3 linked regions of the Callithrix jacchus genome follow. The protein of the gene in region 1 purifies or fractionates together with the protein of each later gene. This does not show direct contact. Links are inferred from orthologs where the notes say so. Each region holds a gene or a part of one and is shown on either strand. Other genes may lie near its edges.

Region 1 (4,757 bases):
CCTGTAATCTCAGCTACTTGGGAGGCTGAGGCAGGAGACTCACTTGAACTCAGGAGGCAGAGGTTGCAATGAGCCAGTTTCACACCACTGCACTCCAGCCTGGATTTCAGAGCAATATTCTGTCTCTGAAAAAAAAATAATTATTATTATTTATGTTTTGAGATAAGGTCTTGCTCTGTTGTCCACACTGTACTGCAGTGGTGTGGTCGTGGTCCACTGCAGCCTTCACCTTCCAGGCTCAAGTGATCCTCCCATCTTAGCCTCCCAAGTAGCTGGGACTACCTACAGGCAAGAGCCACCATGCTTAGATAATTTTTAAAAAATTTTCTGGCCAGGTGTGGTGGCTCACGCCTGTAATCCAAGTGCTTTGGAGGCCAAGGCGGGCGGATCACCTGAGGTCAGGAGTTCAAGACCAGCCTGACCAAGATGGTGAAACCCCATCTTAAAAAAGTAATAAGATAAAATAAAGATAATTAAAAAAAATTTTTTTTTTGCTCTAGAGACAGGGGTCTTGCTGTGTTGATCAGGTTGGTCTTGGTATCTCGTTCTCAAGCAATTCTCCTTCCTTGGCTTCCAAAGGCCTGGGATTACAAGTGTGAAGTGCCACGCCCAGCCTAAAATAAGACAGTTTTGATCCTCAAAAGCCTTCAGAGACTGGCAGCAGAGACGTACAGGCAATCCCATGATGCCCTTAAGGTGTTAAAGGTGCTGTTACAGTTGAGTTCATGTTTTTTAGGGTTTAGGCTAAGGTGTTGTAATGGAGACCCCAGAATACCTTCTGGCTTAAATTAGATGGAGGATTTTTTTTTCTCTCATAGCAGTCTAGGCGGGCCTACACTGGTGGGTTTGCCCTGCTGACCTCAACTGTCTCAGAGTCTCAGGCAACTGCTCCAGTTTTTAGCATCTTAGCCGGCATGGAGGGGTCAGGCACAGACAACAGCAGACCCAGTTCTCTGAAGGACAAGATTCCCCACGCGTGCTTGTACCCCATACACCCATTGGCCAGGGAGGGTCACATGATCACATCTAGCAGTTCAGGTTACCTGGATTACAGAGGATGAGGGGAGGTGCTGGGTAATGACTAGAGAGATCATTGGGGTGACCACTGGGGAAGGAATTTGGACTTGACTCTGGGCAAGTGCAGGAGCCAGAATACAGTTGGTATTAGAAGGCACCCTAAGGCTTATGTAAAGGGAAGGTTAAAGTGAGGTGGCCAGCAGAAATGTAGGAAGACCAAACCAGAGGCTGCTGTGGGAGTCTGGAAGACTGAGGCTAGATTGAGGGTATGTAGAGAAAAGGCTGCAGTGATATGGAAGGATTCAAGATTGTTCGGGAGGTAGAGGGACCACATGGTGGTTTTTGCCTTGGTAGTGAAAAACTGGGCAGATGGTGCAATCGTTTGCTGGTATATGACGTCTTGGTTCCCAAAGGCCTCAATCCTTGGCTCTTCCCCATCCCCTTCTTTTCTGTACACAGGCGTGCTAGGAAGTTGGAGGAAATACTGTAACAGAAAGTATCACATTTCAGTCCCCCATGCCCCAAAAAGTTACGTTGTTCATTTACGCTACAGTGGAATAATCTCTTAGCCCCAGAATTAGTCAATTTTTTGATACATTGAAAAGAATGTGCGACAGGGCTGGTGGCTCATGCCTATAATCCAAGCACTTTGGAGGTCAAGGTGGGCAGAACACCTGAGGTCAGGAGTTCAAGACCACCTGGGGCAGATCACCTGAGGTCAGGAGTTCAAGACCAGCCTGACCAACATGGTGAAACCCCATCTTAAAAAAAAACGAAAAATGAAAAGAATGTGCTATTTTAAATATATTTTTTGTTCTGGGTTATTCCCTATTAATGGGTTATTAACAATGTGGGGTTTTTTTGTTTTTTTTTTTGTTTTTTTTTTTTTGAGAGGGCGTTTCGCTCTTGTTATCCAGGCTGGAGTGCAATGGCGCGATCTCGGCTCACTGCAACCTCAGCCTCCTGGGTTCAGGCAATTCTCCTGCCTCAGCCTCTGGAGTAGCTGGGATTACAGGCACGCGCCACCATGCCCAGCTAATTTTTTGTATTTTTAGTAGAGACGAGGTTTCACCATGTTGGCCAGGATGGTCTCGATCTCTTGACCTCGTGATCCACCCGCCTCGGCCTCCAAAAGTGCTGGGATTACAGGCTTGAGCCACCACACCTGGCATGTTTTTTGTTTTTTTGAGATGGAGTTCTTATTGCCCAGACTGTAGTGCAATGGCATGATCTTGGCTTGCCACAACCCCCACCTCTCGCTTGCAATCTATTCTCCATCCGCAGCCTCCTCAGTAGCTGGGATTACAGGCATGTGCCACCACGCCTGGCTAATTTTGTATTTTTATTAGAGACAGGATTTCTTCATGTTGGTCAGGCTGGTCTTGAACTCTTGACCTTAGGTGATCCGCCCGCCTCAGCCATGGCCCCGGCCCAAAGTGCTGGGATTACAGGCATGAGCCACCGCACCCATCCTACAGTATAGTATTTTTAATCAGTTATTTACATCAGTTGCTAAAAGTTTAAATCATCATTAATGTTCATGACAAATTTTATGACTTAAGTAATATATCTGAGTTATGCTTCACATGCACATATTTTCTTTTATAATCTTTTATAGATGTTATATATACAATTTTTATTTATTTTGATGCTTTAATGGCATAAGTTGGTAGGTGAGAGCCCCTCAAGTTGTCTGCTATGCCATTTCACACCTCTCCAGAGTTTTCGAGAGCATTTTGCCTCTGGCATCGGGAAGGATCCAGGCTCAGCCCAGTGTGAAGGCAAGCCCATACATGCTGCAAGTACACTAGAATTGAAGCATTTTTTGCTCTAGTTTCACCTTCAGCAAGCACGACATGGTAATCACATGCTGGCAGCCAGCCTGTCTCAGGGCAACTTCTTACAGAGAAAAAAAGAACCAGCATGGTTTTCTTAGTGTGAGGAATTCATCTGACTTGTATTTGGGACTTCCATTTTAGATTTATGAATTTTGTATTTCACATTTTGACTCTCACCAGAATTTATAAACTTGTCTAAATGAAAAAGTCTACTTTTTTCTTGGTGCACCAAAAAGAAGTCTTTTTAAATGGGTAAGGTGTATTCTCTGAACCTTCTCTTCTCATGCACTGAGCGCCTTGAGGCCACGCACCCAGGACAGGAGCTGGGCAAGGGCCAGTCCTATCTTCGGAATGTGCAGGGTTTGAACAGGCCAGGCCTGCCAGCCTTGTTACTTGGTTTATTGATTCATTTCAGTGCTCACTCATTTCTTTAGACTAGAATAGTTTTAATAAGGAAATAGTTTTCTTCCCTTCCCTCTCCCATGTTGTGGATTGATATCCAAAAATGAACCCTTGTTAAAAAGCAGCAGAGCTAGGATTAGAAGAAGCACGTCTGCCTTTTTTTTCCAGGGTGCTGTATTTAAGTCCTTTCAAAATGGATAAACATTTCTTGTGAGACTATTGTAAGGTTTAAAAATCTACTTACCTCAGTGATCCATGCTGCTGCTTTTTGTGTGCCTTTATTGTGTCCCCAGGACTGGGAGCTGGGCTTGGGCAGGTGTAGGGCCTCAGGAGATGTCCATTATACCAAGTTGATGCAGCTGAGCTCTTTCCACCCTGTCCTGGGTTGCTGGGTGCATGGCATTCTCTCAGAATCCTTCTTTCCTCTCCTCAGTGCCCTGAGGTACGGCTGAACATCATCTCCAACCTGGACTGTGTGAACGAGGTGATTGGCATCCGACAGCTGTCCCAGTCCCTGCTCCCTGCCATTGTGGAGCTGGCTGAGGATGCCAAGTGGCGGGTGCGGCTGGCCATCATTGAGTACATGCCCCTGCTGGCTGGACAGCTGGTGAGTAAGGAGGCCTGGGACCAGGCAGTGCTGCCTCAGGGGAGGTACAGTTTGTCCAGGGATGTGATGGGGAAACGGGGGGGCTTTGAAGGCTTAGTGGAGGCTATGACAACTGCCTGGGGAGTCAAAGGAAGGGACCCAGGAAATAGGGCCTTAAAAGGTAAATTGGATTCAATAAGAGAGAGGAGGAAAAGGAGCAGCTCTCCCTGTCTGCTCTCCCTGGAACCCTTACCTTGGTTTCTCTTGTAGGGAGTGGAGTTCTTTGATGAGAAACTTAACTCTTTGTGCATGGCCTGGCTTGTGGATCATGGTGAGTACCTCCATAGGAGCAGCAAGAGGAGATGGGAGCTCCAGAAAGGATAGATGGATTGGTTGGGGCTGTGGGAGCTCCCGAAAAGATGGATGGATTGGTTGGGGCTATGGGAGCTCCAGGAAGGATGGGTGGATTGGCTGGGGCTGTGGGAGCTCCAGAAAGGATGGATGGATTGGTTGGGGCTGGACTTACGGCGGGCAGTAGAGGAGGCTGGAATCACTCCCCGAGTCACTGGATGCTCATATGGACCAGCTCATTGCTTGTTAGAGCCTTAGAGAAGTATTGAGTGGGAGGAGGATAAAACATCACCCAGGGTTGCCTGGTATAGTGGAGAGCCAGAGGACCACTGAGCAGCCAGACCATGGTTTTGAATCCTGCCCTTGTGACCATCACATCTAAAGCAAGTCACTTTCCATCTTTGAATGAGCCTCACACTCATTCTTTGAAACTTCTTATTCTTTTTTTTTTTTTATTTTTGAGACGGAGTTTCGCTCTTGTTACCTCCTGAGTAGCTGGGACTACAGGCGCGCACCACCATGCCCAGCTAATTTTTGTATTTTTAGTAGAGACGGGGTTTCAC
Region 2 (4,757 bases), on another chromosome or scaffold:
GTTAATCGATTGAGTGGTTTGGTTGGGGTAGGTGGGTGTGTTGGTTGGTTGGTTAATAGGTTGGGTGGTTGGTTAATCGGTTGGGTGGTTGGTTGAGTGGTTTGGTTGGGGTAGGTGGGTGTGTTGGTTGGTTGGTTAATAGGTTGGGTGGTTGGTTAATCGGTTGGGTGGTTGGTTGAGTGGTTTGGTTGGGGTAGGTGGGTGGGTTGGTTGGTTGGTTAATAGGTTGGGTGGTTGGTTAATCGGTTGGGTGGTTGGTTGAGTGGTTTGGTTGGGGTAGGTGGGTGGGTTGGTTGGTTGGTTAATAGGTTGGGTGGTTGGTTAATCGGTTGGGTGGTTGGTTGAGTGGTTTGGTTGGGGTAGGTGAGTGGGTTGGTTGGTTGGTTAATAGGTTGGGTGGTTGGTTAATCAGTTGGGTGGTTGGTTGAGTGATTTGGTTGGGGTGGGTGGGTGGGTTGGTTAGTTGGTTAATGGTTGGGTGGGTGGTTGGGGTGGTTGGTTGGCTGGCTTTTAATGAGATTTCAGCCCCATTACACTATTGTTTATCAAGTGAAGACCGAGTGAGCAAGCCCATTCCACATTAGTCTTTGGAAGTGCCACACAGAAGGCCGCTGCTAACACACGTGCCCCTAGGAATGATGCTGGGTCTGTTCTGGTGCCATTTCTCCAGCTTTGCTGTGCAGGGCGGGTGCACCTGGGGTTAGGCACTCTCCAGGAGGAGTGTCCTCAGACCTGTCACATCCATACTACCGCTGTATTTCCTGAGTTCATCAAAGCTGGGAAGGGCTGTGGCATTTGCTGAAAATCTAGCTTATAGGGTCCTAATTTGAACCAGGATGTTTTCATCTAAATTGTGGGTGACGTCTGTCACACAGGACCGCTGCTCTTGCGTCCGTGGATTAGTGTATATTGTTCTTAGTGATAGTGACAGTAGCTATGCAGTTCCATCATGAAACTGCTAATCCTAAATGAGAAGTGAGATAGACACCCCGAGGGCGGGCACTGATTCTAAACTGGAAGTGATGGGACCCCAAGGGCGGGCACTGATTCTAAACTGGAAGTGATGGGACCCTGAGGGTGGGCACTGATTCTAAACTGGAAGTGATGGGACCCCGAGGGCGGGCACTGATTCTAAACTGGAGGTAGGTGATGGGACCCCGAGGGCGGGCACTGATTCTAAACTGGTAGTGATGGGACCCCAAGGGCGGGCACTGATTCTAAACTGGAGGTAGGTGATGGGACCCTGAGGGTGGGCACTGATTCTAAACTGGAAGTGATGGGACCCCGAGGGCAGGCACTGATTCTAAACTGGTAGTGATGGGACCCCAAGGGCGGGCACTGATTCTAAACTGGTAGTGATGGGACCCCGAGGGCGGGCACTGATTCTAAACTGGAAGTGATGGGACCCCAAGGGCGGGCACTTGACCTGCTCCAGCCTTGTCCATCTCTGCAGCCAGCAGCACCTCCCACCATCTCCCACGGGGTACATGTGCACAACCCACCCTCAGAAACCCCTGTTCCTCCTGATGGGACCCCGCCACCACCCTCAAGCTCACGTGCTTGTTTTGAGAAAACAGTAGGCCTTTATTAGGCCCAGTCTTGGTTTTATTTAAGGCTGCTTTTGTAGGTTTCGCCTAAATAAAACAGGTATAATAGGTGGCCCTACTGAAGGCATGTGAGAAGTGTAGTTATTTCATTAGTCAGTACTCGGAGAAGAGACCACAGACTACATAATTCTCTACATTGACTTAGGTCAGTATTTGAGATCTTACAGTTCAGAGTGGGCTGTTAATGCATTCTAACCCTAACTGGGGAAGAGTCAGAAATGTTGCTGCTTTTAAATTTTTTGTCTAAATCATTTTAGTGCCAGGAAAGGGATGTAATTAAAAGAAGGAGTCTTGGCCAGGCGCGGGGGCTCATACCTGTAATCCCAGCACTTTGTGAGGCTGAGATGGGAGGGTCACTTGAGCCCCGAAGTTCAAGACCAGCCTGGGCAACATAGCAAGACCCCATCTCTAAAAATGAAAACATATTATTTTGTATGTAAATGAAATTTTTTTTAAATAAAGGAAGGAATCTTTGTAAGTATCGTGTGTTTTGATTAATTGGAGGTTTGTTAGAGGATTGTGGCAGGTGTGTGTTTTTAAGCCTGGTAGACCTGACCCTTTCTCTAGAGACTCGAAGGGTGTGGTCAGCACTAACTGTGTTAAAATCAGGGAAGTCTCACTGTACATACTGTTTCAAGTTTATTTTCTATAAAATCAGCCAGACAAGACTCAGCTGAGAGATTTTTTTCCCCTAAGCTTTCACGGTTCTTCCTTTTGGTTTCTAATTACAAGAATAACTAAAGATCCTATCATTAATTTTTTTGTTTTGATTTTAAAGCTTATGCTTTTCTTCCAGCTGGATGTTAGTGAGATGCAGGCCCTTTTCCTTTTTTCACGTGTGATGCTATTCCTCGTGCCTGAGCTCTCGCCTCTGACCACAGGCGCCCTCCGGCCAGCACCCTCTTCTCTGTCCTTTCCATTTCAGTGTGATTGGAAATGGACTTTCCCAGCACTCAACACAGAAATGGGTACGGGAGGTACCTTTTACTTGTTTTAACCACAAATGAAGTATAATATATAATACATACCCCATAATAATACATGTGCCCCATAAGTGACCAGCTCCATTTGACTGGACATGCCCATATAGCCAGCCCCAGACTGAGACATGGAACATCCTCAGCTCCCCAGGGCCCTCCTGTGCACCCTCCTGTGCAGTCCCTGGAGCCGGCAGAGGCTTGTGGGGTTTGCTCCGAGAAGCATACTCCTGGTGCAGTGAGGGAGGGTTTGTGCATCCGGCTGCAAGGAGAGGACAAAGGGAGGGGAAGACTTTGCTGTCCAGCGTCTCAGTGTGGCCACTGGAGGACACACGAGAGGGAGCGAGCGCAGGCCTCAGCGCCCGGGCAGCTTGTTAGCCTGCCAGCTTTTTATTCAGCAGGAACATGTCAGCCTCAGCAATGGAAGCAAGGGGGAAGACTTGGAATAGAGTATTCCATTTTGTAGCCTATTTTCATAACTGCTAAGTGGTTACTTAGAGGTATTGCCTGTACGCAGTTCTTACTTAGCCATGGACGCAAACTTGTCCTCCTCTGTTATCTACTGTAAGTGTTTTAATTCTATGCCACTGCGATCTTTGTTTTGAATTCCTGTTTCCTTCCATTTTTAGGTCCCAATATTGAAGCCCATGGATCTAATGGTAGAAGCGAGTCCACGGCGAATTTTTGCAAATGCTCACACATATCATATAAATTCCATTTCAGTAAATAGTGATCATGAAACGTATCTTTCTGCAGATGACCTGAGAATTAATTTATGGCACTTAGAAATCACAGATAGAAGCTTTAGTATCCTTCCTCAGAGGGACACTGGCATCTTCCTTGAGGCTGCTCTTTAGATGGTGATTTCTCTTGTTCTTTACACGCCTGTATCTGAGTCTAGTCTCGTAAATGTCATTGCTGCACAGTGGCCTGCGATGTAAGTTCTCTGTGAATTGAAACATTTGTTCCTAAAAATACGGATTTCCTTCTACGTTTGGAAACAGTTCTCTGAAGTCCACTGCCTGCCTGGTTTAATCAGAGATAGTTTTAAATAGGCTGCATTTGAAAAACCAACATTACTTGTTCTTTTTTTATTTATTTTTTTTCCTGAATTTGCTGATGGATGATAGAAAATATTGGCTTAGGTTAGAGTGGCATTTAATCACCCATCTGAGCAGCAGCTTCCGGGAGAACCCGTGTTCTCCTGAGGCTGTGCATGGTCTGGGGGTCCTCGCCATCCTCACGTGGGCTCCTTTCTAGCTAGCAGCCAGGGAGCAGGGGGCATGTTTTGTCTGCAGCCTCTCCCGGGGCCCTGCCATCCAATGCGTCCCTCTGCTGTCCCGTGGCTTGAGCTGGGGTTCCACATCGTGTGTTGATTTTCTTAGTAGTTTCAGCTAAAAGGGTGAGGCTGGCCCTGCTGTCTGAATTGGCCCACCGCTGAATTCTGCCCTGTATTTTTCTCAGTTGGAGGATTTCTGTATAGGGTAGCCTGCTATGTTGCCTTTGCTCTAACTACACAGAACAAGCTCTTAATGTCAGGTCATTAGAAAAGCAGCGTCTTTTGGAATTCGGCGGTATTCTTGTGTCTGTAATTACGTGTGGGAGTGTGGGATTCTCCCCGGTGGTGCTCGCTTGCTTTTCCTGTCTACATGATTAAGAAGTATGTACTGTCTTGCCATCAGAGGGTTTCCGTAGAACATTAATAACTGCAGCGGGATGAAAGCGGTATTCGCGTGTCTGCGTCTCCCCCAGGTCGGGGTGTTGCTGTAGTCTGGTGAGGATGCTCATCCCAATCCTCTTAGCATGAGCTCCTCTGGAGTTCAGGAGGTGTCATCGGCCTTCTTTATAGCTAATCTCCTAAACCTCACTGGGCGGATTCCTTTGCGTCCTGTTTCATGGGACTGCACTGACTAATTAACAGTCAGCTGAGCTGAGCTGAGCACTGAGCACTGTCCTTAACCACGCGCTCCAGACATCGTGGACATCAAGCCTGCGAACATGGAGGAGCTGACGGAAGTCATCACTGCTGCCGAGTTCCACCCGCACCAGTGCAACGTGTTTGTCTACAGCAGCAGCAAAGGCACCATCCGGCTCTGCGACATGCGCTCCTCAGCCCTGTGTGACCGACACTCCAAGTGTAAGTGCCTGGCGGCTCACTCTGTCACTCAGGCTA
Region 3 (4,757 bases), about 2.7 Mb from region 1:
GTGGCACAGAGTAGGCGCTCCATGTCTGCTCGTCATCACTTTGTTACCTCTGGGTCCTTCTCTGGTGCCTCGAAATTAATTTTTTTGTTTTGTGGGGGAAAGAGTTTTGCTCCATATCCCAGGCTGGAGTGCAGTGGCATGATCTCAGCTCACTGTAACCTCTGCCTCCTGGGTTCAAGTGATTCGCCTGCCTCAGCCTCCTGAATAGCTGGGATTACAGGCGGGTGTCACCATGCCCAGCTAATTTTTATATTTTTAGTAAAGACGGGTTTCACTGTGTTGGCCAGGACGGTCTTAATCTCTTGACCTCGTGATACGCCCACTTCAGCCTCCCAAAGTGCTGGGATTACAGGAGTGAGCCACCATGCGCCCAGACTGTTTTTTTTTTTTTTTTTTTTTGAGATGGAGTCTAGTTCTGTCGCCCAGGCCGGAGTGCAGTGGTGCGATCTTAGCTCACTGTAACCTCACTGTAACCTCTGTCTCCCAGTTCAGGTGATTCTCCTGCCTTAGCCTCCTGAGTAGCTGGGACTACAGGTGTGCCCCACCACTCCTGGCTAGTTTTTGCTTTGTTTCTTTCTTTCTTTGTATCTTTAATAGAAAGGGGGTTTCACCATATTGGCCAGGCTAGTCTCGAACCCCTGACCTCAAGTGATCTGCTCACATCAGCCTCCCAAAGTACTGGGATTACAGGTGTGAGCCACGTCGTCCAGCCTCTAGATGGAATCTTTTGTGGTTATTTCACCCCTTCCTGGCTTAGGACACTTTATCCTAAACCCGGTGACCCTAGGGAGCTTCTGGGATATTCAGAACTGGATCTTTATTTATTTATTTATTTATGTATTGAGATGGAGTCTCGCTCTGGAGTGCATGGTGCGATCTTGGCTCACTGCAACCTCCACCTCCCAGGTTCAAGTGATTCTCCTGCCTCAGCCTTCGGAGTCCCTGAGATTACAGGCGTTTGCCACAATGCCCGGCTTAGTAGAGCCAAGCTTTCACCATCTTGGCCAGGATGGTCTCAATCCCTTGACCTTGTGATCCACCCACCTCGGGCTTCCAAAGTGCTGTGATTACAGGTGTGCGCCACCGCGCCTGGCGGGACCTGGATTCTTGACGGCAGTGGATGAGGACTAGGACTAGCCTGGGCAACATAGCGAGATCCAGTCTCTATTAAAAAAAAAAAAAAAAATTAGCCGCGTGTGGTGGCAGGTGTTTGTAGTCCCAGCCACTAGGGAGGCCGAGGCATGAGAATCGCTTGAGCTTGGGAGGTGGACGTTGCAGTGAGCGGAGATGGTACCACTGCACTCCAGCCAGGGTGATAAGTGAGACTATCAAAATCCAGCCAGGATGATAGAGCTACACTGTCCACAACAACAACAAAAGAGGCCAGGCGCGGTGGCTCATGCCTGTAATCGCGGCACTTTGGGAGGCCGAGTTGGGTGGATCACTTGAGGTCAGGAGTTCAAGCCTGGCCAACATGGTGAAACTCTGTCTCTGCTAAAAAAAAAAAATACCAAAATTAGCCAGGTATGGTGGCATTCCCCTGTAGTTTCAGATACTCGGGAGGCTGAGGCAGGAGAATTGCCTGAAACCGCTAGGTAGAGGTTGCAGTAAGCCGAGACCGCGCCACTGGACTCCAGCCTGGGTGACAGAGCAAGACTCCCTCTCAAAAAAAAAAAAAAAAAAAAAAAAAAAAAAAAAGGGCCAGCGTAGTGGCTCACGCCTGTAATCCCAGCACTTTGGGAGGCCGAGGTGGGTGGATCACTTGAGGTCAGGAGTTCGAGACCAGCCTAGCCAACATGGTGAAACCCCATATTAAAGAAAAGAAAAAACGAAAAGAGAGACTTCATGTGGGATTTTAAGCCTGGATAGCCGCGGGGGCTGTTGGGAAATGTAGCATGTAGCCCACCACATGGACTACCAGATTGAGGATCCATCTCTCATGAGATCTTGGAGCACCTCTTTTGGGGTTCTAAGCCTTTGCTAACCTGGTAGCTCTTGGGAGGTGTTGCCTTCTAGGTAAAAGGGATCCTTATTTCTCAGAAGACCCCGGGACACTGGTCTTTGATTCTAAGTCTGTACTGCTCCAGAAATTAGTGAGAAATCTAAGGCCCGGGTTTTGAGGAGACGGCTGGAGTGGAGACTTCACATCCCACGGGTCTCAGACCCTGTAAACCTGGAGGATCCGAGCCTGCAGTGCCCTGGAAGCTCATGGCAGGTGTAGCACCAGCATTTTAGCTCGCAGGTGGTGGCAGGGACTGAAGATGGGCTAGTCCTGGGAGCTCTTAGCAGGTGTATTACCACCATTCTGACTCCTGTGTCAGGGCACTTGGTTTTCCAGGGCACCGCAGAGTGCCTTGTCTGCTCCCCTAGGGGCTGACAGTCCACACGGCCTTTTGCCACCTCCACCTCTGCAGGCGCTGGCTCAGCGGGAAGATATGGAGGAGCGGATCACGACGCTGGAGAAGCGCTATCTGAGTGCCCAGCGCGAGGCCACGTCTCTGCACGACGCCAACGACAAACTGGAGAACGAGTTGGCCAGCAAGGAGTCACTGTACCGGCAGGTGGGGGCTCAACCCGGGAGGGGCGATGGGGTCGTCGCCGGGGCCCAAGTGACCCAGCCTGTCCTCTCCCCGCCTCTCCCTCCCTCAGAGTGAAGAGAAGAGCCGTCAGCTGGCCGAGTGGTTGGACGACGCCAAGCAGAAACTGCAGCAGACGCTGCAGAAGGCGGAGACCTTGCCGGAGATAGAGGCGCAGCTGGCACAGCGCGTGGCGGCGCTCAACAAGGTGTGGGGACGACTCGGGTTGGGGATGGGGCGGGGTCTTGCATGGGGGGAGGGGTGGGGCCCAGAGGAGGCGGGATGGTGAATCTGGAAGGTAGGAGCCAGGTCCGAAGCCTGAATTTGGGGGAAGAGGTGGGGCCCAGGGGGCTGGGAAAGGGACAGAACTTAGAATGGGGAGAGCCTGGATGATTGCACGGGGGACAGATGAGAGCCGGGTTCTCTAACCTGGACTGAAAGGACTGGTGGCCTGGGACCTGAGAGGGAAGGACCAGGTCCTGAAAAAGTGGACTAGACGTAGGTGGGGCCTGAATCAGCGGTGCAGGGGAGGAGCCTGGTGCTTTGGGGGCGTGGCCTGGTGTCCATCCTTGGAGGAGGTGGGGCTCAGAGCCTGACTGATCCTGGAAGGGTAAAGTCACAGGCCATGGGTTCCATCCTCTAGGCCGAGGAACGTCATGGGAATTTCGAGGAGCGGCTTCGGCAGCTGGAGGCCCAGTTGGAAGAGAAGAATCAGGAGCTGCAGCGGGTGAGAGGGCAGAGGGCTGCATAGAGGGTGGGGCTTCGAGCCTGGGGCGGAGCTTAGTGGGGGTTGGGCATGGCCAGGGCGGGGCTTAGAACAAGGGCGGTGCTCTGGGCGGGGTGGGCTTGAGCACCCCCGACCCGCTCTGCTATTCAGGCCAGGCAGCGGGAGAAGATGAATGATGACCACAATAAGCGGCTGTCCGAGACGGTGGACAAGCTGCTGAGCGAGTCCAACGAGCGCTTACAGCTTCATCTCAAGGAGCGCATGGGGGCGCTGGAGGAGAAGGTGCGTCCCAACCCAGGACTGTGGGGACTCGGAATTCTGGGAATACCTGTCGGTGGAATCCTGGGTCCTCAGGCCTTTCCCCCAGATCTATTATTGGAGGCCTCCCTAAACCCCAGCATTTTGAGTTGGGCAGGCTTCTGTGCTCTATTGCGCAGACCGCTTTTTCACCTATTCTAGACGTTCCAAGAGCCGAATTCTGCGGATCATGCCTTGAGTCCTTGACTTTTTCCAAAGCCTCCAACCCCATGGGCCCCCAACCCTGAACCCTCTGAGATTGCACAGGATGTCCCATCCTGAGGCTCCTCTTCCCAGAAACATTGTTGCCCCTGCTCGCCTGAAACTCACCATTTGTGTCCATCTCATTCCTCCTGGGTCCCCTCAGGCCTATCTGTGCTCATTGGGAGCTGCCTGCAGCTCCAAGGGCGTGCCCCCCTCAGGCCCCACCTCCTCACTTCACCTCTGTCCCCACAGAACTCTCTGAGCGAGGAGATTGCCAACATGAAGAAACTTCAGGATGAGCTGCTTCTAAACAAGGTAGGGTGCCCCGGGGGAACAGCAGGAGGATGTAGGGCAGGGGTTGCCGAGGCTATGGTCCACAAGGCTGGCAGGGGCTGTTCCTCCCGGGTGGAGCAGATGCTAACCCGACACCTCCAACCCCGACCCCCAGGAGCAGCTCTTGGCCGAAATGGAGCGGATGCAAATGGAGATCGACCAGCTGCGAGGGAGGCCGCCATCCTCCTACTCCAGGTGACAGCAGCCCTCCTGTCCTGCCTCTGCCACTGAGCCCTGTTGGCCAAGCTCCTCCCTTCTGATCCCCACTTCCTGTCCTCCCAAGACTTCCACTGACCCCTCTTTTTTTTTTTTTCCTGGACACAAAGTCTTACTCTGTCACCTAGGTTGGAGTGCAGTGGCACCATCCTGGCTCACTGCAACCTCTACCTCCCAGATTCAAGCGATTCTCATGCCTCAGCCTCCCAGGTACCTGGGACTACAGGCATGCGTCATCACAGCTGGCTAATTTTTGTAGTTTTAGTAGAGATGGGGTTTCGCCATGTTGGCCAGGCTGCTCTGGAACCCCCAACCTCAAGTCATTCTCCACCTTGGCCTCCCAAAGTACTGGGATTACAGGTGTGAGCCTCCATGTCTGGCCCCTCTGATTTTTGACCCTGACT

What was found.
Region 2: the proteins of PPP2R1A (region 1) and PPP2R2D purify together in Homo sapiens (affinity purification with mass spectrometry; 9 studies listed by BioGRID and IntAct, counting the BioPlex papers as one, with this or other methods). This does not show direct contact. The link is inferred for Callithrix jacchus from reciprocal best matches to the Homo sapiens genes PPP2R1A and PPP2R2D.
Region 3: the proteins of PPP2R1A (region 1) and PPFIA3 purify together in Homo sapiens (affinity purification with mass spectrometry; 4 studies listed by BioGRID and IntAct, with this or other methods). This does not show direct contact. The link is inferred for Callithrix jacchus from reciprocal best matches to the Homo sapiens genes PPP2R1A and PPFIA3.

Annotation. Positions count from the first base shown.
Region 1 is NC_133523.1:45,600,278-45,605,034, forward strand, and holds part of PPP2R1A (serine/threonine-protein phosphatase 2A 65 kDa regulatory subunit A alpha isoform), read left to right. Parts: intron 1-3,690; coding exon 3,691-3,864; intron 3,865-4,113; coding exon 4,114-4,174; intron 4,175-4,757. UniProt on the Homo sapiens protein: The PR65 subunit of protein phosphatase 2A serves as a scaffolding molecule to coordinate the assembly of the catalytic subunit and a variable regulatory B subunit.
Region 2 is NC_133513.1:125,246,704-125,251,460, forward strand, and holds part of PPP2R2D (serine/threonine-protein phosphatase 2A 55 kDa regulatory subunit B delta isoform), read left to right. Parts: intron 1-2,403; exon of another isoform or gene 2,404-2,575; intron 2,576-3,213; coding exon 3,214-3,391; intron 3,392-4,556; coding exon 4,557-4,721; intron 4,722-4,757. UniProt on the Homo sapiens protein: Substrate-recognition subunit of protein phosphatase 2A (PP2A) that plays a key role in cell cycle by controlling mitosis entry and exit. Involved in chromosome clustering during late mitosis by mediating dephosphorylation of MKI67.
Region 3 is NC_133523.1:42,942,279-42,947,035, forward strand, and holds part of PPFIA3 (liprin-alpha-3), read left to right. Parts: intron 1-2,414; coding exon 2,415-2,561; intron 2,562-2,649; coding exon 2,650-2,784; intron 2,785-3,219; coding exon 3,220-3,303; intron 3,304-3,453; coding exon 3,454-3,585; intron 3,586-4,056; coding exon 4,057-4,119; intron 4,120-4,252; coding exon 4,253-4,332; intron 4,333-4,757. UniProt on the Homo sapiens protein: May regulate the disassembly of focal adhesions. May localize receptor-like tyrosine phosphatases type 2A at specific sites on the plasma membrane, possibly regulating their interaction with the extracellular environment and their association with substrates.